4 linked regions of the Caenorhabditis elegans genome follow. Each later gene encodes a partner of the first gene's protein in a complex. Each region holds a gene or a part of one and is shown in the gene's direction. Other genes may lie near its edges. The genes, in order: ctr-9, leo-1, cdc-73 and pafo-1.

What was found.
Region 2: ctr-9 (region 1) and leo-1 share a complex: the UniProt entries of both Caenorhabditis elegans proteins name them as parts of the PAF1 complex.
Region 3: ctr-9 (region 1) and cdc-73 share a complex: the UniProt entries of both Caenorhabditis elegans proteins name them as parts of the PAF1 complex.
Region 4: ctr-9 (region 1) and pafo-1 share a complex: the UniProt entries of both Caenorhabditis elegans proteins name them as parts of the PAF1 complex.

Annotation. Positions count from the first base shown.
Region 1 is NC_003281.10:9,489,801-9,497,586, forward strand, and holds ctr-9 (RNA polymerase-associated protein CTR9), read left to right. Parts: upstream 1-1,839; 5' UTR 1,840-1,857; coding exon 1,858-1,929; intron 1,930-2,090; coding exon of another isoform or gene 2,091-2,639; exon of another isoform or gene 2,640-2,718; intron 2,719-2,751; coding exon 2,752-3,702; intron 3,703-4,045; coding exon 4,046-4,987; intron 4,988-5,133; coding exon 5,134-6,373; intron 6,374-6,419; coding exon 6,420-6,572; intron 6,573-6,976; coding exon 6,977-7,071; 3' UTR 7,072-7,244; downstream 7,245-7,786. Other genes in the region: dars-1 (Aspartate--tRNA ligase, cytoplasmic), read right to left, coding at 32-168, 214-957, 1,004-1,156, 1,314-1,409; sod-4 (Superoxide dismutase [Cu-Zn]), read right to left, coding at 7,376-7,521. UniProt on the Caenorhabditis elegans protein: Component of the PAF1 complex which is a multifunctional complex involved in transcription initiation via genetic interactions with TATA-binding proteins, elongation and transcription-coupled histone modification.
Region 2 is NC_003282.8:11,327,113-11,331,016, reverse strand, and holds leo-1 (RNA polymerase-associated protein LEO1), read left to right. Parts: upstream 1-1,647; coding exon 1,648-1,703; intron 1,704-1,750; coding exon 1,751-2,147; intron 2,148-2,194; coding exon 2,195-2,368; intron 2,369-2,415; coding exon 2,416-2,510; intron 2,511-2,558; coding exon 2,559-2,658; intron 2,659-2,710; coding exon 2,711-3,041; intron 3,042-3,111; coding exon 3,112-3,251; 3' UTR 3,252-3,396; downstream 3,397-3,904. Other genes in the region: sart-3 (Spliceosome associated factor 3, U4/U6 recycling protein), read left to right, coding at 1-185, 233-570, 628-741, 791-1,085, 1,138-1,253; B0035.21 (Kinesin motor domain-containing protein), read right to left, coding at 3,448-3,511, 3,558-3,661. UniProt on the Caenorhabditis elegans protein: Component of the PAF1 complex which is a multifunctional complex involved in transcription initiation via genetic interactions with TATA-binding proteins, elongation and transcription-coupled histone modification.
Region 3 is NC_003282.8:4,040,994-4,048,072, forward strand, and holds cdc-73 (Cell division cycle protein 73), read left to right. Parts: upstream 1-1,581; 5' UTR 1,582-1,585; coding exon 1,586-1,657; intron 1,658-1,710; coding exon 1,711-1,910; intron 1,911-1,955; coding exon 1,956-2,125; intron 2,126-2,726; coding exon 2,727-2,868; intron 2,869-3,734; coding exon 3,735-3,999; intron 4,000-4,401; coding exon 4,402-4,486; intron 4,487-5,025; coding exon 5,026-5,313; intron 5,314-6,164; coding exon 6,165-6,496; 3' UTR 6,497-6,579; downstream 6,580-7,079. Other genes in the region: F35F11.2 (DUF4200 domain-containing protein), read left to right, coding at 1-11, 279-539. UniProt on the Caenorhabditis elegans protein: Component of the PAF1 complex which is a multifunctional complex involved in transcription initiation via genetic interactions with TATA-binding proteins, elongation and transcription-coupled histone modification.
Region 4 is NC_003283.11:11,519,738-11,523,904, forward strand, and holds pafo-1 (RNA polymerase II-associated factor 1 homolog), read left to right. Parts: upstream 1-1,965; 5' UTR 1,966-2,028; coding exon 2,029-2,069; intron 2,070-2,120; coding exon 2,121-2,222; intron 2,223-2,271; coding exon 2,272-2,398; intron 2,399-2,452; coding exon 2,453-2,713; intron 2,714-2,765; coding exon 2,766-3,375; intron 3,376-3,431; coding exon 3,432-3,568; 3' UTR 3,569-3,647; downstream 3,648-4,167. Other genes in the region: C55A6.7 (DeHydrogenases, Short chain), read right to left, coding at 1-420, 568-696; C55A6.11 (uncharacterized protein), read left to right, coding at 895-981, 1,219-1,644, 1,690-1,797. UniProt on the Caenorhabditis elegans protein: Component of the PAF1 complex which is a multifunctional complex involved in transcription initiation via genetic interactions with TATA-binding proteins, elongation and transcription-coupled histone modification.

The DNA of each region.
Region 1 (7,786 bases):
ATAATCTAATAAAATGGTAAAAATTTCCTACTTTAAAATAAGTGGTGGCTCGCAGAACTGGAATGGCTCAGCTGGATATTGATTTCCAACGGCTGCGATCTCATCTTGATAGTTTTGTTGAAGACCTTTGAACATCTGGGTGAGCACTTCTGCAATGGTTTCCATAACCTGAAAAACGAAATTTTATTAAAATGTTAGTCTATAATTACAAACCTCGTGATAATGGAAGTTGAAGGCCATTTCCAAGTCAAGTCCAACGAACTCGGTCATATGACGATGGGTGTTAGAATCTTCAGCACGGAATACTGGACCAATAGTGTAGACCTTTTCAAAATCTCCGGCAATAGCCATTTGCTTATAGAGTTGTGGAGATTGAGCCAAGTAGGCGGATCCTTTGAAATAGGAAACTTCGAAAACATTGGCTCCACCCTCACTTGGCGCAGAGATAATTTTTGGAGCCATGATCTCCACGAATCCTCTAACATCGAGAATGTTTCTGAACTGATTACAAATTCCGGCTTGAATTCTGAAGATAGCATGAGAGGTTGGCGTACGAAGATCGATGACACGGTTGTCAAGTCTTGTATCGAGATTAACAACAGCCAATTGATTCTCCTGCTCGCTGGCTTTCTCTTCGTCAGTTGGTGCTCTGCGTGATGCATCCTCAATTTGGAGCGGAAGCTTTGGAGCAGAAGTTGAAACGACAAATACTTGTTGAGCAAGTAGTTCGACATCCTTTTGTGTGCAAGATTCAATTGGATTGTCAACCTTGTTGATAGTAGCATAAACGTCAACAATAGACTCCTTTGAGATAGAAGAAACAAACTTCAACATTTGCTTGCTAATCTTTTCGTTCATAAACATTGCTACTTGAACGGTGTAGACTCCCTGACGGAGAACGAGGAAGCAATTCTTTCCCTTCGATCGAGTAGTGTGAATGCGCCCACGGACCCAAACCTACAAAAATGTGAATAAGATGAGCATATCCTCTGTTAAAACTCACGTCTTTTGTTGCGTTGGAAACGTTGATCTCCTTGACTTTCAGAAAGTTCAACACCTTCTTTTCCTTAGAGTTAACAAGCCCATATGATCCATAAAAGTCTTTGGATGCGTCTTCTTGGTCCATAGCGGCAGCCTGTTGTTGGTTTCCTCCTTTCTGAATTTATATTGCTTAGTTGCGAAATATTTCAAAATAGCATTTGAGGTTATAGAAAATTATTTACTTTAAAAATAAATAGCTCAACAGAATTTTCAATAACTCTATAAATTTAGACTAAACCCTATTTTAACGAGCATAGTTAACAAAATCTCACCTCTCCAGCTTTCTCATCTTTCTTAGCTTTTCTAGCAAGCTTATTGAGCTCCTTCTTGGAGAGTTTTGGTTGTTCACCTTCGGCAGCATCAGCCATTATCACCTGAAACAAATTAGCATCTATAAAACCAATGAAAAATTAAATTTTAGCTTGAAAATAAGGAATTTGTTTACAATTTGGGCTGAAAATGATGAAGTGTGTATGCGCGTCAGTTCTGATGTTTGTGCTCTCTGCGTACAATGCGTTACACTTCACGCGCATCGCGCCTCGTTCGAAAAGATATTTTTTGCATCCTGTTTTTCTCAATTTCTTCTTGAATTTCAAAGTTAAACGTTATTTAATCTTTATATTTTATTCATTTGCTTATTCTTTTTGTAAGAATTAAAGTGAGTTTATCATAAATCCATGATTTATTCTGCATCAGCGCTTGGAAAGTCTACTACCACGTTTAATCTTTAAAATTCCCAATCTTGGGTACTATTACTTGAATATTTGTCAAGAAAGATCTAATTTGTGTTTTTTACAGGTCAGAAAGTCCAAGGAGATGGACGAAAGTATTGATGATGTGCAAGAGACCAGAACAATCGCTATTCCATTGAAAGACAGTCACGAAGATGTAAGTTTTTGTTTCAAAAGTGTTCATAATTTCAAAAATCGATCGTTGTTGTTTCTTAGTGAGGAAATTTGGGAATATTGATTCATCATGTCGGTAGGACTTTCAAATTTCGAATTTATTTCAGCCAACCGACTTGATTTATCGATATTTTTGAATTTCAGGGTACGCACTTAAAACGTCTCCGCCGTTTCTCAATCGAAGTCTGGAATTTAATGCAAAACTGGGCGACAGCTTCTGAAAAATCAGTCCAATATTTGGAATCATTAGTTAATTCACGTCTGAAACTGCTATATTCGCGAGAAGTTGATGTAGAGGAGTCTGCAAAACTAACAAAAGATCAATCTGATCGTGTTCTCAATGAGATTGTTGTTATGAATTCAAAACTGAATCAAACTATGAGTGATTTTGAGAAAGTTATTGGAAAATTCGAAGTTGCACAAGGACGAATGTCAGCTTGGAAGCAATTGACCGAAAAAAGTCAAAATATTGAAGAAAAGTACATTGTGGAGACCCTTGACGAGAATTTGCCGTTAATAATTACAATGCTTAAGAAAGAATTGAAAGTGAAGCAAGACGTGCTCTTCGATTTCGCTCAAAATGACAGCCGGGACGTATTTACTCTTGTCCTTCTCACATTTAAACATGAACCATTTGTTGATGTCGCCCTTCTTTCCAAATTATTCGCATTAGTGGCCTCCGAAGCACAATGATCGATTTTTATTAAATATTATATTGTTTAAAAAAAACGTTTTTTATGTTTGTTCGTGAAATAAAATCTTGAAAAATTAATTTTCTGAATCAAATAATGAAAAACTTATTCAGGAAGTAATTGAAATCAACTGCTCCGAGCTCCCCGATGGCGAAGAAGTCCTTCAAATTTTGGAAGCAGAAGAAGCAAAGTTATCGTATTGGATTGAAGTTGCTCTCGAATATTACAGACAAGATCGTGTTGATCTATTCATGATGATTCTAGAATCTGCTGGATCTCGTGCTGGATTGGAGTATGAAGGAGTAAAACAGGATCAAATGAGAGCATTGGATATACTTGCTGCCTACTGGATGACTCAAGGTTACAGAGAGAAGGCCAAGGACAAGAAAAGTGATTTCTTCTCGAAAGCTACAGTTCTTTTCAACACAGCCGATAAAATTGCGATGTATGAATGGTCTCACTTGACAGTTCGTGCTTGGTTTTATCTTTTTGAACGAGATAAAAGTACAAACAAGTATGAACTTGCTGATCAACAATTCAATTATGTCGTTAAAACCAATCCGAAGAATGTGCTCCCGTTGATTGGAAAAGCTGTAATCGCATTCAATAAAAAGGATTATAAAACTGCAATCTATTACTTTCGAAAAGCAATTCGACAATGTCGTCACACAATCGCAGATCTTCGAGTCGGAATCGGTCACTGCTTCGCTAAAATGGGAATGATGGACAAAGCGAAAACGGCATTCGAAAGAGCCATGGAAATTGAACCATATAATGTATCGGCCATGTGTGGTTTGGGAATTATTCTGTTGAACACGTACGACCATGACAGCCTCAAACACGCAGTCAGTTTGTTTGGAAGATCTTATAATTTACAAACTGATCATCCAGTTGCTCTTATTCATCTTGCTAATCATTTCTTTTTCAAAAAAGAAATTGAGCGTGCATGGACACTTGCCTGGCATGCAGCAACGTATAATGATTGTGATTCGATAAAAGCTGAAGCTTTCTATCAAATGGGAAGATGCAGGCATGCACAAGGGCAATTTGACGGTGCTTATAAGGTTTGTTTTTGAGTTTTCAAATCATAAACTAAAAATATAAAATTAAAAACTCGAAAGAAACCCCGGAATTTTGTCATTGAATCCTGAAAGCAATCGAAAAATCAAATGATTTTTATGTTAAAAAAAGCTTCAGAAAAAATGCACGGAAATATTCTAGAATTTTGAAATTTTCTTATTTCGTGTCTCGAAAGACATTGCTCTAAATTCTCAAAAAGTCCTTTTTTTTTAAGTTTCATATTTTTCCAATTTACGAAAGCTTCGACTGAAAATATTCAAAAATCTACCTAAAATTTTTGTGTTTTGGCCATTTTGGAATATTATACGTGTAAAATCCTACTTTCAGTACTACTACCAAGCTCGACAAGCAAACAATGGAGAGCACACCCTTGCTCACTATGGACTTGGTCAAATGTACATTCATCGAAATGAAATTGAAGAAGCAATCAAATGCTTCGATACTGTTCATAAACGATTGCCAAACAATACAGACACGATGAAAATTCTTGGAAGTCTATATGCTCATGTTCAGCTAAACGATCCGGCACAAACAGCAGAAGCACGGCAAAAGGGACGGGATGTTCTTGGAAAATATCTGGCAGTTGAAAATGATGACTATGAAGCATGCATCGACTTGGCTCAACTTCTCGAAGCAACAGATCCAAAACGATCTCTGGAATTGTATGAAAATGCAATCGACTTGCTTGTAACAAATGAGAGTATTCAACCACAACCCGAAATGCTCAACAACGTCGGTGCTTTGTATATGTCAATGAAGCAATATGAAAAAGCTGAACATCACTTCAAAAGAGCTAAAGAACGTCTTGAAGAACAATTGAATACTGATGAAGGGTCTCTACTTTTAGAACGTAGAAGTGCTCCTGAAAAATCGCACCTTCTCACAATTCGTTACAATTTGGCTCTGTGCTTGGAGCATCTTTGTCGTACTGTTGAAGCCGAACAAATGTACAAGGATATTGTGAAAGAATGTCCTGGATATATTGATGGATATCTTCGTCTTGGATGTATCACTCGTGATCGTCATCAAGTCTATGAATCGTCTTTGTGGTTGAAACAAGGCGTTCAATTTGATCAAGCATCACCAATTGTTTGGACTCTTATTGGAAATCTTCATTTTGCAAAGAATGAATGGATGCCTGCCCAGAAGAAGTTTGAATTCATTTTGTCGAAGATTTTCAACAACAAAATTCCTGATCCATACTCGCTGGTAGCTCTTGGTAATGTGTGGTTCGAGCAGCTTCTCAATCCATCAAGGAAAAAGGAAGATGTAGGTTTTTTATTGCTTTATCACTTGCATTCTGAAATTTATTCATATTAAATTTTATAATCGATACCATTTTGTACTTAACTATTAAAGAATGAACAATATATTTAATTTTTATTTTCAAACAATTTAATAATATTTTGTTTCAGGAGAAAAAGTACATTGACCGAGCTCTCCAAATGTATCAAAAAGCATTGAAACTTCAACCAAAAAACATGTATGCTGCAAATGGAATCGGATGTGTGCTTGCTTATAAAAGAAACTGGAATGATGCTCGAGATGTTTTCAGTCAAGTTCGCGAGTCTACCAGTGAATTCTACGATGTCTGGCTCAATATAGCTCACGTTTGCATGGAACGAGAGCAATGGATGGCTGCTGTTCAGATGTATTCGTCTGCGATGAAAAAATTTCGAAAGGAGAATGACTCGACATTGCAACACTATCTTGCAAAGGCCTATTACCGAGCAAATATGTTGAATGAAGCCAAGGAAGCACTTGAATGTGCAATGCTTGATCAATTGGATAATACCCAATTGAAATTTAACTATGCTATTGTATTGAAGAAATCTGCAAAAGAAGTACTTCGAGGTCACAAAATGACATCAGAACAAGTGACTGCGGCTATAGATGATCTCAAATTCGCCGACAAAATTTTCCAATACATCTCTAAAAATGATGATCGTCAATCGAGCCATACTGGAATGCGAATATCGAGAACAATCTGCGCAGAAGAAGCTAAAAATTGCAAGGATTTGTTAACTCAAGCAAAGCATAAATTAGCAGCTGCACAGACTCAAGATGAAGAAGAACGTCGTCTTATGGAGAAGCAAGAGAAAGAGAAGATAGCATTGCAGAACAAGATGATTGAGGAAGCTCGTGCTAAGGAAGAAGCTGAAAAACAGAAGCTCGAAGATATGAAGAATCTTAGATTATCATTCATAGAAATGACAAAAGATGTTCTCAGACTTCCAGAAATTGTCGAAGAAAAGAGAAGAGGAGGTGGTGGACGGAAACGACGAAATGATGATGGTGATGAGTTTGTTAATGATAGTTCTGATGCTGGAAATTATGATGGAGAGGAAGGAGGTGAAGATGGTGAACGAAGAGAACGAAGGAAGAAGGATAAGGCAGCAAAGAAGGCATCCAGGAAGAAGAGAGAACGTAGAGATAGTGGTGGACCTGATTCGAACAGAAGAGATGAGAAAAAGAGAAAGAGGAAGGAAGAGAGGGATCGAAAACTACAGGAGAAGCTCTCAGCAAAACAATCAGCAAAGATAAAATCTCGTGCATTCTTATCTTCATCGGAATCTTCTGATGATGACAAACCAAAGCCTGCTGCTGATTCATCGGATGATGAGGTTGATCCGCGGCCGCCAGTTGATGAGTTTGGTTAGTTTATTGATTTCTGATTTTCAAAAAATTCCATTTTTTGCAGATAGTCCAACCCGAACTGACAGTGATAGTGATCGTGAGACAACTACAAAAAAGAAAAAGAAGAAGGCTGTTGTGGATTCTGATGAAGGATCAGTCTCCGGATCTGGCTCTGGATCGGATAATGATGATAAGCCAATTATTGGAGGTTCTGATGGTAATCATAGATTTGAAAAAAAAAACGACAACCGAGGATGTCGCCTTCTGAAAATACCTGATTATTTCAAATATCTCAAAATCGAAAAAAATACTAATATTTTTATTTTGAAAAATATTAATCAAAAAACGAAAATTTTTCGATTTTTAGTTTTATTCAGTTTTTATTCAGTGATAATCGGAAAAAACTTCAAACAATGTTTGGAACATTTGAAAATATTAAATTTTAAACATTTTTTCGAAATACCTGAAATCGCAAAAAAAAAAGAAAAAAAAACACTTACAAATTTTTTAAAGGAAAATTACAAACCATTTCAAAATTGTACTAAAATTTAGACTATTATCGCACAAATGAAATTTTTTCAAATTTTCGGAAAATCGTATACAAAATGTTGAAATTTTCAGATGATGATGATGATAAACCTGCTGGTGGAAACTCCAGGGACAGTGATGGAAGTGATGCTCCGAAAAAGAAGGTTATCGAGAGCGACAGCGACTGAACCAATTTTTTTTAAATTTAAAGTTTTTATTTATTTTTGTTGTTCACAAATGTTTTATTTGTACTCTTTGTAAATCTAGCATCTTGTGCTCGTTCTCACAATACATTCTCCCGTTTTTAATCACCGAGTCCAAGACTTTCAATCTTTGACATGAATTCATTTATCAAACAAATAATGGTACCTGTGAGTTCGTTTTCGTTAGTCGCAGAGTTTTCGATTACAATTTGAGACCAGTTTTCGTGAGGAGCGAGGGCATTTAGGACTAGAAGGAGGGAGCAAAGAAAGCATGAAACAATAGGACGAATTAAAGAATACGAGATAGCAAGAAATATAAAATAATTGGAAGATAAAATGTAGAATAATAATAAGAAGAAGATCCAATTGGTTGAGATTGTGTAACTGGAGGAAGGGATGCTGTCGTTGTTTCCAAAATACGTTCTTCCACAATTCCTGAATAATTTAACGTTTATTGGGGTTTTGAAGATAAGTGAAGCATATTACACAACAATTGCAATTTTTGACGCAAAAATACGGTACCCGGTCTCGACACGACAAAGTTTTGTCAAATACAAACTGGGGTCTTCAAAAAGCACTGTAATTTGAAATTTTCGTTGTTGTGAGTTTTTCTCACGATTTGGTTAAATTTACGTTTTTTTTTAAATTTAAGCTTCCATAATGGAGTTATTCAAGTAGTGTCGGAAAGTTGAAAAGTGTA
Region 2 (3,904 bases), on another chromosome or scaffold:
AACATTGGCTGAGTTGGATTTGGTTCTTGAGAAAGTGAATTCACAGGTTGCTCATCGAGCCATTCGACCACAAAAGAAAGTTTCTGAGAAACCAGCTCCAGCTCCTAAATCAAAGCAAGATCATATTCAGAAGAGAACGTCGGGAGGTGAACCAATTGTAAAAAAAGTGAAAGGAGACGACGGAGGTAAATAATTTTTAAAAGTAAAGAAGTTAATTTGAATTAAATTTTAGGATTCAAAGCTCCACTTCCACCATCCAATGCGAAAAGTTCATCAGCTGTATCCTCTTCAAATGCTTCGTCGACACCAGCTCCAGGTTCCTTTGCAGTTCAGAAAGCAGCTCCAGGAACGGAAGATGCTCGCACAATTTTTGTTTCTAATCTCGATTTCACTACGACGGAAGACGAAATTCGACAAGCCATTGAAGGTGTTGCTTCAATTCGATTCGCAAGAAAAGCGAATTCGGATCTTGTGCACAGAGGGTTCGCCTATGTTGTAATGGAGAATGATCAGAAGGCACAGCAAGCTCTCTTGAAAGATCGAGTTCCTGTGAAGGGAAGGCCAATGTTTGTAAGTTTTAATTTTACTTTATAAATATTTGTGAAATTTTAATTTCTGAAAATTCAGATCTCCGCCAACGATCCAGAAAAACGGGTTGGATTCAAATTCTCAACCACTCTTGAAAAATCGAAAGTCTTCGTTCGCAATGTCCACTTCCAGGCAACCGACGATGAGTTAAAGGTAATATATACTTATCTATCATTTTATATTCTAAATCGATACATTTCAGGCATTATTCTCGAAATTCGGTACAGTAACCAGTGTTCGACGCGTGACTCATAAAGATGGAAAACCAAAAGGAATCGCATTCGTAGATTTTGACACAGAAGCAAGTGCTCAAAAATGTGTTGCTTCTGGTGATAAATTGATGCTTCGAGAAAGAGAACTAGAGGTAGCGTTATCCAATCCACCAGTAAAAAAGGATAAATCGCATGGAAAACCAGCAGCAATTGGAGCAAGTTTGGAAGAAGATGGACCTAGAAAAGGACATGCTGCAAAACTGCAATTGGTTCCCAGAGCTATTAGTAAGTATATCATCTTTAGTTCCCAGCTTAGCATAAAAAAATCCATTTTCAGCAAACAAAACTCCTCAAATCACTGCTCGGCTGGACGCAATGGATGTTTCCGAAGGCACTTCAACGTCTCAGCCACTTTCAAATGATCAATTCCGTAAAATGTTTATGAAAAATTAGGGCCGTTTTTCACCAGAAACTTTCATTGTTCATATCAAGATTCATTTAGTTATTTAATTTCTATTACGTTCCCCAGTGTCTCCTTTCCAATTAAAATTCCGGTAGATGCTATTTTTGATGTTCTCGCTATAATTATATTTGTTCTTCACTACGAATTGCAAGATTTAGTTTCATAACTGTTCATAATCCTTGTTTTCTTTTTGTTTGCTAATAATTTGTAATAGAGATCCCCCAATATTCATTTTCAACTTATTGCCTATGGATAAGAAAATCTGAATTTTCAACAACTACTTTTATTATTCAATTTTTATCGGTATATTCGACCCCAAATTATTACTTTGTTTTGCTACTTTCGCTATTCAAAGAACTTAGGTATGCAATATTTTCAATTCAGATGTCATCTTCTGAGGGTAATTCTGACGCTTCTGCACCAGGAACACCAGTTAAATCGTAAGTAAATGGTAATTGTGTTTCTAAAATAATATAATTCAATTCAGATCAACTCCATCTTCTCGTGGATCGTCGCCAGATTCACCAAAAAAACAAGAACCGTCTAAGAAAAGAGCGATATTAAATGAGTCCGACGATGATGATGATTCTCGTCCTGCTCCTCGACAATTGTCCGATTCTTCTGACGATAACATTCATCCGAGAGGAGGAGGTGAAAAGAGTTCCCCCGGTGCTGGTGGTGGTTTGTTCGGTGATCTCTCTGGCTCTTCCGACGATGATTCCGACAGAGAAGGAAAGCCGAAAGAATCAAATACAAGAGCACGATTGTCAGATTCCGATGCGGAGAGTCGTGGAAGTTTGAATGATTTGCAAGGAATTGTGATGGCTAATCCAGATGAAATAGATGAAGATGAAAAAGCAAAGGAGCATGTTCATGATACTGAAGTAAACATTTTCAATGAAATAATGTGATTAAAACATTGATTTTCCAGATGGTAACAGGTCGTGTTACTTTGGAGTACGCTGCAGATCCACCACATTTTGTCAGAATGCCAAACTTTCTATCAGTCGCCACTCATCCATTTGATCCACAACATTACGAGGAAGACGAAGATGATGAGCAGGCGAAATTGGATGATGAAGGACGAACACGTCTCAAATTGAGAGTATGTCTGTGTTATAAATACATCTCATCAAATATACAATTTTTAAGGTGGAAAATACACTTCGCTGGCGAGTTCGCAAAGATGAAAATGGAAAAGAAATTCGAGAGAGTAATGCAAAAATTGTAAAATGGGACGATGGAACGTTAGTTTTCAATTGATGCAAAATTTCCATATCGTGACTTAATTTCAGAATGTCTCTATACCTCGGAAACGAAATTTTCGAAGTCTCATTGGTGCCGCTGAATTCCAATAATCTTCCCCATCTTTACGTTAAGCAGCCAACATTAATGGTATTTTGATTGTTAATGTTTTTATTTTAATCAAAATTTATGTCATTTTTAGTCGGCTCAAGCTGTTCTTACACATCGTATGACCTTCCGTCCTCACTCGACTGATTCCCAAACTCACAGAAAAGTCACACTCAATATGGCAGATCGAAGCAGGAAGAATGCTCAAGTTAAAGTCATGGACGATGTTGGTCAGAATCCGGAAATTACACGGCGTGAGAATGCCCGGAAGGAGGAAGAATCACTTCGTGCACACATCCGACGTACTCAGATGGTTCGGAATAACTTTAAAGTTCGTGGTCCGAGATATGCAGGACAATATTCTGATGATGAAGATATGCCAACGTCATCCAGAAAAGGAAAGAAGAAGGAAGCACCAATTATTGGTAAGTTCAATTTAATTTTGATTAGGACTTTACCAGAATAAAGAAACTGTACTACAATAATATATTTCAGGTGCCAGCTCAGAAAGTGAGGACGATCATGCGGATACCACAAAGAAAAGCGGATCGGATAGCGATTCTGATGAAGAGTACCGAAAGAGAAAACAACAACAAAAGAAACAGATTGTCACCAGTGACGAAGAATCTGACTAAATTTATTTCAATTTTGATCCTCACAATTTTATATTTCGCGAATTCAATATTTCTCCCTTTACAATATTTCGAAAATGTTTTCCTTTCCTTATTTATTTTAGTCTTCGATATTTCGAGATAATGAAACATCCACAATATTATGAAAAACCGAGCTTTTATTTCTTAATTTCAATCAGATTGTATGTAATATTTAAAATCATACATCCACTACGTCTTCCTCGCTTCTCAAAGAATTGGCATCAAGTGTCGTATCATAAATTCTGAAACTTGAAATAATCTACGATTTCAGAATTCTCAAAATCAAACCTCCGTGTTTTATCGTTTTCCATTGCTCTTGGGGAAATCGATACATTTAATATCAACTGAGCTTCTTCTTGATTTCCAGAGCTTCTCGATCGCAGTAAAAACATCAATATAATGATTTGAAAGAAGATTCCATAAATTAAAATTCGAAAAACTATAGGTTTTGACTTTTGATTCCAGAGTATTTTAAACATCTTTGTGGAAAATGTAGGAAATGATTTTTCACGTTTGATAAAGAAACTGACTAATAAATTTTTACATCTAACAACAAATCTTTGAATCAATCATATTATAATATACACGGAACCACTATGTCCGAAAGATTTAAAATTTAAAAAAATTGAAATTGA
Region 3 (7,079 bases), on another chromosome or scaffold:
TTATCAACGGTGTAAGTTATTGGGGTGGCGGTGCGGTCGTGCCGCGGTTTTGGTCTGAAAATCGATATTTGATCCGTTGCGGTCGCGCCACTGCTTCAGTTCAAAAAATCTATGCTTAACGCGTTGCGGTTGCTGGGCGGTTTTCGCTAGAAATATCGATTTTCCATGCGCCGCGGTCGCGTTGCGGTACACGTTCAAAAATCAATAATTGATGCGCTGCGGTCGCGTCGCGGTTTCGGCCCCGCCGCCGTCCCCTCTGAAAAGATCAATAATTCCAGATACAACCGATGTATGAACGCTGGCAAGCGGCTCGAAAAGAGATGGCCGCCGTGAAATTCACGACGCATCGTGTAATTCCATCGCCGACCATTTTCGGCAATCTGGCTCACTACGGAATATCGATTTTACGCCAAATACTGTTCTATATGGCATATTGTCGGGATTTGGTGTCGGCCGGCGATCAGCAGAGAAGTGGCTCACCGAAATCGGATTCGACACGTACTTTGAACTCGTTGAACCTCTCGGCCGAAAATAAATGATTGATTTATTGATTTTTTTTATTTTCTGGGAAACTTGCATGAAAATCAAGAATTTTCACATAAAACGCTGAAAAACGCTGCCATCGGGTACGGTATCTCCATTTCTGTGCAAACACCGACTACAGTAACCCAAGGCGTAGAATTTGACGACAAGTTGCAGAAAAACCTCGAAAATAAGGGCAAACGTGGAATTTTCAAAGATAAGCATATAATTTGTGCTGAAATTTTTGAAATATTGTTCATTTTCACGATTTTTGTGCAATTTATGGTCGATTCTAGTGTATTGGGCTAGAGACCCGAAGAACTCGGTGGATGTCCAATTGGGGGGATTACCAACTCGACAGAACCGTGGCTTGCAATACGCCCATTTCTGCAACTGCCGCACGGTTTTAAAACTGTATTTTTCTCAATAGAGCGAGAATTAACAAGAAAAAATAATTTTAAAACCGTGCGGCAGTTGCAGAAATGGGCGTATTGCAAGCCACGGTTCTGTGGGCGGGGCCAATCCCCCGAGTTGGTAATCCCCCCAGTTGGACATCCCCCGAGTTCTTCGGGTCTTGGGCTACTGTGATCGGTGTTTGCACAGAATTCGAGCTACAGTACCACAGAAATAGCAAGATTCAAATTTTCCGTAATTGTTTATCGAACATTTTGCTGCTAATCACAACTTTAATCAAGAAATAAAGTGACAAACACGACTAAATTTTCATTTTCCTCACCTTTTTGTGCATTTCCCAACATTTTCGTAACTTTTTTACACTTTCATGGTTAATACATATTGCTTCAATAAGTTTCTTTCTTCAATTTGACTAGTTGAAAAAATCTCCACGAAATTTGCTACTTTTAAGCCTAAAAATAGGCAGATATCTCAAAATTGTAGATATTCAATTTCAAACTCGCGCTCTTTTCTCGTGGCCGCGGCCTAGAAATCCCGCTCTCTCACTGTTCTCTTCCAGATTTTTTAATTTGAAAAATAATTTATTTCGCCGCGTTTTCCTTCATTTTTCATCGATTTTCCGTCTAATTTTCTGCATTTTTTCAGCAGAATGGACCCATTGGAAGCTCTCCAAAAGCATGTGCAGAGGCCAGAAGAGTTTCCGCTGCGAGAAGTCACCGTGGTAAGTGTTTTAACGATTTTTGTCGATTTTCCAATCATTTTTCTCATTTTCAGAGCGGAATCTCGTATGTGGCGTTCGGCGACTACGCTTATAAGAAAGACACGGAGACTAGCCTCCAAATCTACGGAAAAAGCGATGAATTCTACTCTTTGGAGTCACTGGTCGTATTTCTCAAGTACTCACACGAAAATCACGGAGTTTATGTGAAAGAAGCGGCCGCCGCCGGTGTTCGAGCCGTTACACGTATTGATAGGTAGAAAATATCGATTTTTAGCCGAAAACACGTGTAATTTTTCAGAAAAAATGTGACAGAGTACCTCCAGGGTGACCGCACAGACTTTCCGGCGCTGATGAACCAAGTAAATCCGCTTTCGCTTCGCCAATTGCTCCATTCCTCGGAGCCAGAAGCAAAAAAGCCACGTTTAGACGGTGAAGCCGCCGGCGAGCCAATGGACACGAGCACTTCGGGTTATTTTAAACAAAAATCTGAAAAAAAAACTAATTTCGAGCTAAAAACCTTAAAAATTATCGTTTTTAAGCTAAAAATAAGGATTTTTAGACAAGATATGACTTGAAAATCGATTTTTAAAAGGTTTTAGCTGAAAATAACGATTTTTAAAGCTAAAAACCGACGAATTCTACGCTAAAATCCAAATTTTAGGCTAAATGCTTAATAAAAACCTACTTTCACGCTAAAAGCCCCATTTAAACCCCCAAAAATCCAATTGTGGACTAAAAAACTACAAAATAGTTAATTTAAGCCAAAAAACTGGAAAAAACGTAGTTTAAGCTGAAAATCTGAAGAAAACACCAATTTTGAGCTAAAAACCGAAAGAAAAAACTGTTTTTAAGTTAAAAATTATTGTTTTTAGCTCAAAAACAATTTTAGGTGAACATTTGAATAAAAATCCGATTTTAAGCTTAAAAAAGTATAAAATAGCTCATTTTAAGCCAAAAAGCCTGTAACTACCTTAAAAATAACCGTTTCTAAGCTAAAAATCATGATTTTTAGCAGAAATTTGCTCAAAAATCCCGATTTTTCTCAAAATTAACTCCATTTTTTTCCCAGATGAGCCCCAGGAATCCGCGGTATCCGCTGCAAAGAAAGAAGTCGAAATTCGTGCACTAAATGACAATCTGACAAAGGATAGAATTGCTGAAATGAGAAGAAAACGACAAAGTCATCGAGAAAAAGGAATAGTCACCATTGAGTACGGCAAAAAATTAGGAAAATGGGCTAAAAAGGCCAAATTTATGCTGAAAAATGATGCAAAAATGCAGATTTTAGCCTGAAAACCCGAAAATTTCACGAAATTGCGAATTTCTCAGTTTTCGGTTGAAAAATTGGGAAAATTACGTTGAAAACGTAGTTTTTACCCGAGAAAACCGAAAAACAACAGTAAAAAGCCAATTTTCGATTTAAAACAATTTTAACTGGGAAAAAATATGAAATTCAATTTTTTTTTTTCAAAATTCCCTACTAAAATTCGGATTTTCATATAAAAAACTACGCAAATCACCTAAAAAAACCGAAATTCTACCAGAAAAAAGTGATTTTCAACTCAAAAAATCTTAAATTTATCCCATTTTCATAGAACAGAGCCAATTTTCTCCAAAAACCCGATTTTTGTGCAATTTGTCGTGAATTCCGGTGTTTTGGGTTACTGTAGTCGGTGTTTGCACAGAAATGGGGCTACAGTACTCAAAATAGACATTTTTCTGGGTATTTTCGTTAAAATTTCTGAAAAAATTGTGAAAATTCATTGCAAAAAACGGAAAATCTCGATTTTCTAGGTCAAAATTTTCTTAAAAACTTGTTTAACTCGAAAATTCTTAGAAAACTCCGAATTTCTCATTTTTTGGTTCAAAAAACTACGAAAAGTCGATTTTTAGTTTGAAAATCTCGTAATTTTCTAAATTTTCACCGAAAAGTTTCCAAAAATCGGCCAATTTTTCTTTTAAAAAAAGCCTGAAAAATATAGAATTTTTATGCAAAAAAAATCCGAAAACCCCGATTTTCTAGGACAACATTTCCTCAAAAACCTGATTTTCTGATCAAGAAATTTCAATTTTTCAGTGAATCCCTATCCACACTGACGTCAGCCTCACTTCCGAAGACTCGAATCCACAAAACCCGTGAAAATGTCATGTTGGGAGCTCGAGATTTGTCAAATGTGCTCGATATTATCACTTCAGCCCAACGGCAATGGGATTTAAACGAGAAAAAGGAAAAAGTGGCGGCTGTTCATGCTACGAATCTCTCGAAAGATCAGTCTGGAGCCGCTGGTGGACAACAGCAACGTTCCGGTTATTCTAGATATGCTCAGGAAGCTTTTGCTCATGTAAGGGAGCCCCCTCCCCAAACTATGTGAAAATTTGAGAAAAATTGGTGAAAAATCGATCTTTCTGCTATTTTTCACGCAAAAATTCGGAAAATTTGATCCAAAAATTATGAAATTCGTGAAAACCGGCAATTTTTTCCTAAAAATTCAACATTTTCACCAAAAACCCGCTAAAAATGACGAATTCGGATACTGTAGCCCCGTTTCTGTGCAAACAACAACTACAGTAACCCAAAACACTGGAATTCACGACAAATTGCACAAAACTCAAAAACTGACGTAAAAATGCGATTTTTCACGCAAAAATTCGAAAATTTTGATCCAAATAAATGAAAAATTGAGAAAAGATTCGAATTTCAGTGAAATTATGTCCAAAAATCTACTAAAATTCAATTTTTTCAGGAAAAAACCAAGGAAATTCAAACGGAAGGCTCTTTTATTGGAAGTAATTTCAGCAGTATCAAGCAGGGACATCATGCGGTACAAAGTTCGTAAAATCCGAGAAATTGCAATTTTAAATTCAAAAAAATCAGAAATTTTATAAAATTTGACCCTAAATTCGAAAAACACCGAAAAATTCCCACATTTCGAAACAAAATTGGAAAACTTCATAAATTGACTTAAAATCCGGGTTTTTGTAATATTCTCACCAATTTTGACTGAAAAAACTCGTAAAAAATGCTTTTTTTTTTCATTAAAGTTGATCTGGAAAGCTGAAAATTCGGAAAATTTATGAAATTTTCACTAAAAACCTGTGAAAAACCAATTTGTGCCGGAAAATGTGATTTTTAACACAAAAATTCAGAAATTTTGCTTCAAAATGGAGAATTTCATGAAAAATGACGATTTTGGGTACTGTAGCTCTATCTCTGTGCAAACACCGACTACAGTAACCCAAAACGTCGGATTTGACGACAAATTGCACAGAATTCATAAAATTTGACCTAAAATCTGGGTTTTTTTTCTGAAATTTCTACTAAAAAATGTAAAAAACGCCAATTTTTCACAAAATTTTCAATTTTCCAGAAGCACCCGACGCTCCCCCAGGCCGTCCTCCACTCGCCAAGCCCATCCAGCTTCTGACGTCATCAACTGCCACGTCATCAGGCTCATCAGCAGCTCAAAATGGCTCAAAACGGACGTCTCGCTCCCCGATCATCATCGTTCCGTCGGCAATGAATACGATGATAAATTTGTACAATGTTCGAGATATTCTGCAGAATTTCAGCTATGTTCCTGTTGATCAGCGACGAAAAGAGACGAATAAGAAGCCTGTCGATTTGGCTATTCAACGGCAGAAAAATGGTGTTACTTGTGCGTTTTTTTGGCTGGAAATGCGATTTTTCACGCGAAAATTTGGAAATTTTGACCCAAAAAATGAGAAAAACTAAGATTTGTGCTTGAAAATCTGAATTTATTGGAAAAATTTGAAATTCTTGAGCCAAAAATGCTGAAAATTAAACATTTCGACGAAAAAAACCCCGAAAAATGACGGTTTTGAGTACTGTAGCCCCATTTCTGTGCAATCACCGACTACAGTAACCCAACACATCTGAATTTACGACAAAATTCTGAAAATGGTCAAATCCTTCTCGAAAACTTGCGTTTTGCCTGAAATTTACGATTGTTTACGCGAAAATTCGAATATTTTAACCCAAAAATAATGAAAATCGTAAAATCCACCGGTTTTTGCGCAAAAATGGAAAATGTTGACTTAAAAACTTGAAAAATGAGACGATTTTGGGTACTGTAGCCCCATATCTGTGCGACCACAGACTACAGTAACCCAAAACACCGAAATTTACGACAAATTACACAAAACTTGAAAATAGACTTGAAAATTCGATTTTTCTCGAAAAAGTCCTTTTTAAAGTGATTTAAAATAATTTTAAGCTAAAAAATTGGAAAAATACGCAATTTTTCAAAATTTGTTTGGAAATTTGAGCAAAAAGCGTAAAACCCTGAAATTTCGAGAAAAAAACTGAAATCTTCACCTAACCTTTCGAAAATACTCAATTTTAACCAAACATTTCGAAAAAACTAGACGTTTCAGGCAATATTCGCTGCAAAAATGGTATTTTTTGGGATTTTTAACCGATTTTAAGCTAAAAATTCGAAAAAAAAACAAAAACTCCATTTTAACCTAAAATTTGAAATTGATTCAGACAATATCCGCGTAATCGACAATGCCGAGAAGCTTGCCAATGATGATTGGGATCGTGTGATCGCCGTCTTCGTAATGGGTGTCGCGTGGCAATTCAAAGGCTGGAAATGGAATGGAAATCCGACGGACATCTTCACCCACATTCCTGCATTCCATTTCCACGTCGACCAGGATAAGCCGGTGGCTCAAGTGATGCAGTGGAATGTACACAAGATTCCAGTCTCGGCGACGAAACGGCACATGGATAAGGCTCGATTCAGTCAAGTTTGGGAGACAATCGAGAATTTTGTACGCAAGAACAAGCCACATCTCACCGCCCGTCTTGGACTCTGAAAATTCTCGGAAATTTTCTTTTTTTCTTCATTTTTTGCAAATTTATTTATTCATCACTTTTGATTTTATTAAAAATGCCATTTTTCTTCAAACAATTTTTAATCGAAAATTCAAATTTTTAGCGAAAAAATCATTTTCCACGTGGCGAAATCGTCATTTTTGGAGTGGAGAAAATTCGATTTTCAAGCGGAAAATTGCCCAATTTTCGTCAGTTTTCGTCAGCCAGGCGGCGCGGTCGCGTCGCGGCAACAAATTTTTTAATTCGTGAATTTTCAAGGTAATATTTTGGAGAAAAATTCAAATTTTCCAGTTAAACATTGTTTCGTTTTTTGGCCAAAATTGCCTTCTAGGATTTTCGAAATATTGCTCCATTGGCCACGCGGAGCGGTCGCTTCGCGGCTTTTTTTTTTTTCATGATTACTGGCTCAAAACTAGACACTTTGAATTCCCAAGTTAAATTCATTTGTCAAAATTCTTCAAAAGAGTTCGGGGAGTAGTGCGATTCAGAAAGCAGAAAGTGAGAAAAAAATTAGAGGTATAGCACAAGTATTAGAAATATACCAAAAAATTAGGTGAAAATTAG
Region 4 (4,167 bases), on another chromosome or scaffold:
AAACTGATTCACCGCACACTTCGTCATTCGATATGCCATTGCTTTATATTCACCAGAACCACTGGTATTTTCAGAAATTGAACCAAGAAATTCGGATGCAATATTAATGATTGCACCACGAGAAACGGAAAGTGTATCGCCTTCCTGTCGTTTCGAAGCTTTGATTATGAGTGGTACAAGGCTTTGTGTAAGCATCATTGGACCAATTGTATTTGACTCAAACAAATCCAGAACAACTTTTCGATCAGGTTTTTGTTTTGTTACATATGGAAGCATCACAGCTGCATTATTTATAAGAAGAGTTAATCCAGATTCTCCAACAATTTCAGACACTTTTTCAGCAAAATTTGCAATTGATTCATCGGATCCGAGTGAGAGTTGAAGAATGTGAAGTCGTGGATCACAAATTCCCTTGAGAGCCTGAAAAATTGGAAATTAAGAATGCCGTAGTCCAATACATGTTGTTGGGAAATTTTTACCATATACAAATATTAGGAACACAAACCTAATACAAATAACTATAATCTCAGCAACGGATAAAGTATAAATAAACTCGAAAAAACTTACAGTTGCCTTATCAACATCTCTTGCAGTCGCAATGACATGCTGAACATTTGGATCTTTCAGAAATTGTTGAACTAATCCAAATCCCAATCCTCGATTGGATCCGGTTACCACAACTGATTTTGGAGACATTTTCACTAGAATTTAAGCATAGAATTGAATTAACAGAAATCGAAAATCAATGAATGATGATTATTATTTCTTATCAATAGTATTTCTCTTCTGTTCTGCAAAATAAACAGCGTGATGAACTGCCACAATAATTAGTTTGGTTTATTGCAGTTTTTAGTTTATTTCGGAATTTCTGAGAAGAGATCAAAGAATTAGACAATGAAGAAAACTATGATAATTTCGATTTTGGTTAATACAGTTTTGCTCTTCAATCAAGTGTTGGTTGCGAACGGGGAAAATGTGAATGTAGGTTTACACAGGAGATGTTATAAAGGACTTTCCTTGGTTCTATTCCTGAGCTTTTCCAGTTGTCCCTGGGAAATTTTCTTTCAAATATTTTTAATGAAAGAGAAACGATAGACAAAAAAAGATAGACAAAAAACTAGGCGCAATTTGTTTTGCTATTGTTATGTTTTTGTAGGTTATGAGCAATTTCAAAATAAGATCTTTCTAGAAAATTGTAAAAATATTATTTCATTCAAGGTATCCTGCCCAATTTTATCCCGAACTCGACACAAAGAACTTCGAACTTTCATGTACAAAAACTGCACTTCCGGTTTCAAGACATGCTTTCAACAAATTATGCTCACTGAAATCGTTCGAAATGAGCAACACGCATTTCTATTTGCCTCTGGTTGTGCTTCGAAGGAAATTCTCAAGCCATTCAATCTAACCGAGGAAACATTCATGAAGTTATGTGACAAGAAAAAAGTGGGACGATGTGTTCATACATACCAGCATCGAGTTTATTATGGTACACTCTGCTGTGAAAGGAATTCGGAAAAAATGTTCGGATCTTGGCTGTGGGATGTTTTCTTTGGAAGTAGTGAAGAGCTAAATGCTGAAATGGAGAATACTGTTAGCTTTGTTCAGCGTGAAAGTATCGGAATGCACGATGATCATGATAATGTAGGCTTTAAAAGTTCACAACCCCACATTTATATAATTTTCCAGAAAGGAGCATTGGCTCTCTACATTGCTGGACCATTCATTGTCACCTTTATATTTACATTATTGTCCCTTTTACAATATTATCATGTTAATGATGGCATTTTGTCATAAAATAAATATTATCGTGACGAGAACGCTGGAAATTCACAAAACAAAAAATACTTTTTGAACACCCGCGCAAAACTGGTTATGCGCCATTGTTCCCTGCTGACGCGCATTGAGCGCTTGCGCAAAACCCGTGTGTGAGAGTTTGAATTTAATTCCCTCGGTGACTAGTTTTTTCGATTTGCAGCCGTTTCTGCCGATTGGTATCTTAATATTATAACTAAATTACTATAAAAAATGCCCCAAGAATCCTCAGATGCCAAAAGGATTGAACCTCCGTAAGTATTATTGTTTTGAATCGCTAGAAAAGTTTTGAAAACATTTTGCAGACGAAAAGTGGATTTCATGCTGAAACCTCGATTTACCAATACTGTTCCTGATGTCCCATTTGATGCAAAGTTTATGACTTGTCCATTTGTTCCTCTGGGAAGGTACACCAATTTTGAAACGTTTGACATTGTTCAATATCTCTGAATTTAGATTTGTCGAATTCCAACCTGCTGCCATTTATCGAGATTACAAGCATGCAGTCATTTGTGACGACGACATGGGTTTGAATGTCGATTTGATTGATCTAAAAAAATACGACGAAGATCCAATCGAAACTGTAGGTTTTTTCCTGAAATATACAGTTTCAAAGATAGAAATGTTTCACTTTTAGGAAATTGATGAGAAAGACAATATTTTACTGGAAGATGATGGCGCCGCTAAATTGATTGCAAAACGATCTCAACAGCATTCTAAACTTGTTCCATGGATGAGAAAAACCGAGTACATTTCAACTGAATTCAATCGGTTCGGTGTGACAGCCGATAGACAGGAGACGAAGCTTGGTTATAACTTGAAGAAAAATCAACAAGTTGAAGATATGTATCGTGACAAGCAGAGTCAAATTGATGCCATTAACAAGACATTTGAAGATGTAAGTACCAGAATATATTTTTTTGATTTAAATCTACTTTTGCGTATTTTAGGTTCGTAAACCCGTCAAGGAGCATTACTCCAAGAAGGGTGTAAAAGCTGTTGAAGAAAGCTTTGTCTTCCCTGATTTCGATCACTGGAAACACCTCTTTGCTCATGTACAATTTGATGGAGACACTATAACAACAGAATTCGAAGAAGAAGATGAACGACAACAAGCACGGGAGAGCAGTGTTATTAAAGCCATGGAATTCGAAGATCAAAAATTTGCAGCAGTTTTTGTTCCAACGATTGGATGTCTTACGAGTTTTATGGATGATCTTGAGTTAGAACGACCATTTGATGAGGATATGAAGTACGAATTCTTGCTAAGCCGTGAATACACATTTAAAATGGAACACTTGCCACCAAGGGATCGTGACGTCTTCATTATGTATCATCGTAATAACGTTTTCCAGTACAACGAAGTTGACTGTAATGTCAAGATGACAAGAAAACCAAAAATGGCATTGAGCAGAAAATCCAAATTGACACTCACATACCGAAATCCTTCCGAACTGGAACAAAAAGACATGAATAAAAGAGAGGCTGAGTTATACGAACAGCCAAAGACCAGAAAACAAGAGATTCTGGAAAAGATTCAAGAGAAGAAAGAAGAAGGTGGTGAGTAAATTTAAGTTTTGAAGTGTTATTTTCCACGCGAACATGCAATTTTTCAGGAGACAGTTCAGATCAGAGCAGTGATTCTGATGACGACAAGCCGCAGAAATCACGATCTGATAGCTCTTCGGACGTTTCATCAGATGACGATTCACCACGGAAAAAGGAACCGACTGTTGACAGCGACAGTGATTGATCTCAAATTTTTAAAATTGTTTTTCTATTTATTTTACCTAATCAAATTGGTTTTTCTCAGTAAACTTGATAACGATTTCAACTATTTGTTCGATTGATCTTCATGAATCTTCGCTAAAAGTGCAAGTATGATTTGACTCACAATTGAAGAAAAAACCAACAGCGGAAACACCAACACCCGCAAAGTTCTGTTTGTGTAGGTGTCTGTTGCTTGCGCTTATGTGCTCCACGTTCTATTCTTTGATTTGTCATGCGGAAGCAACAGGATCAGAGGGCAAGACGTTTAGTTTTGGGGGAAATTCGAACTACCGTTCTGATTGGAATGCGTATTGCGAAACATTGAATATATCCCGTAGCGAAAACTACAGTAATTCTTTAAATGACTACTGTAGCAATAGATTTTCGAAACTACAGTGCATTTTTTTTCCACTTCTACGACTTTAAAGGCGCGCGTATTTATACAAAATGGTCCCGTCATTGGTCTCGCCACGCGCTCAACAAATCAAAGGGATGCGCGTGGCGAGACCATTGCGCGAAAATGCGCGCGCCTTTAAAGTCGTAGAAGTTGTAAAAAAAGCACTGTATTCCAAAAGAAATTCA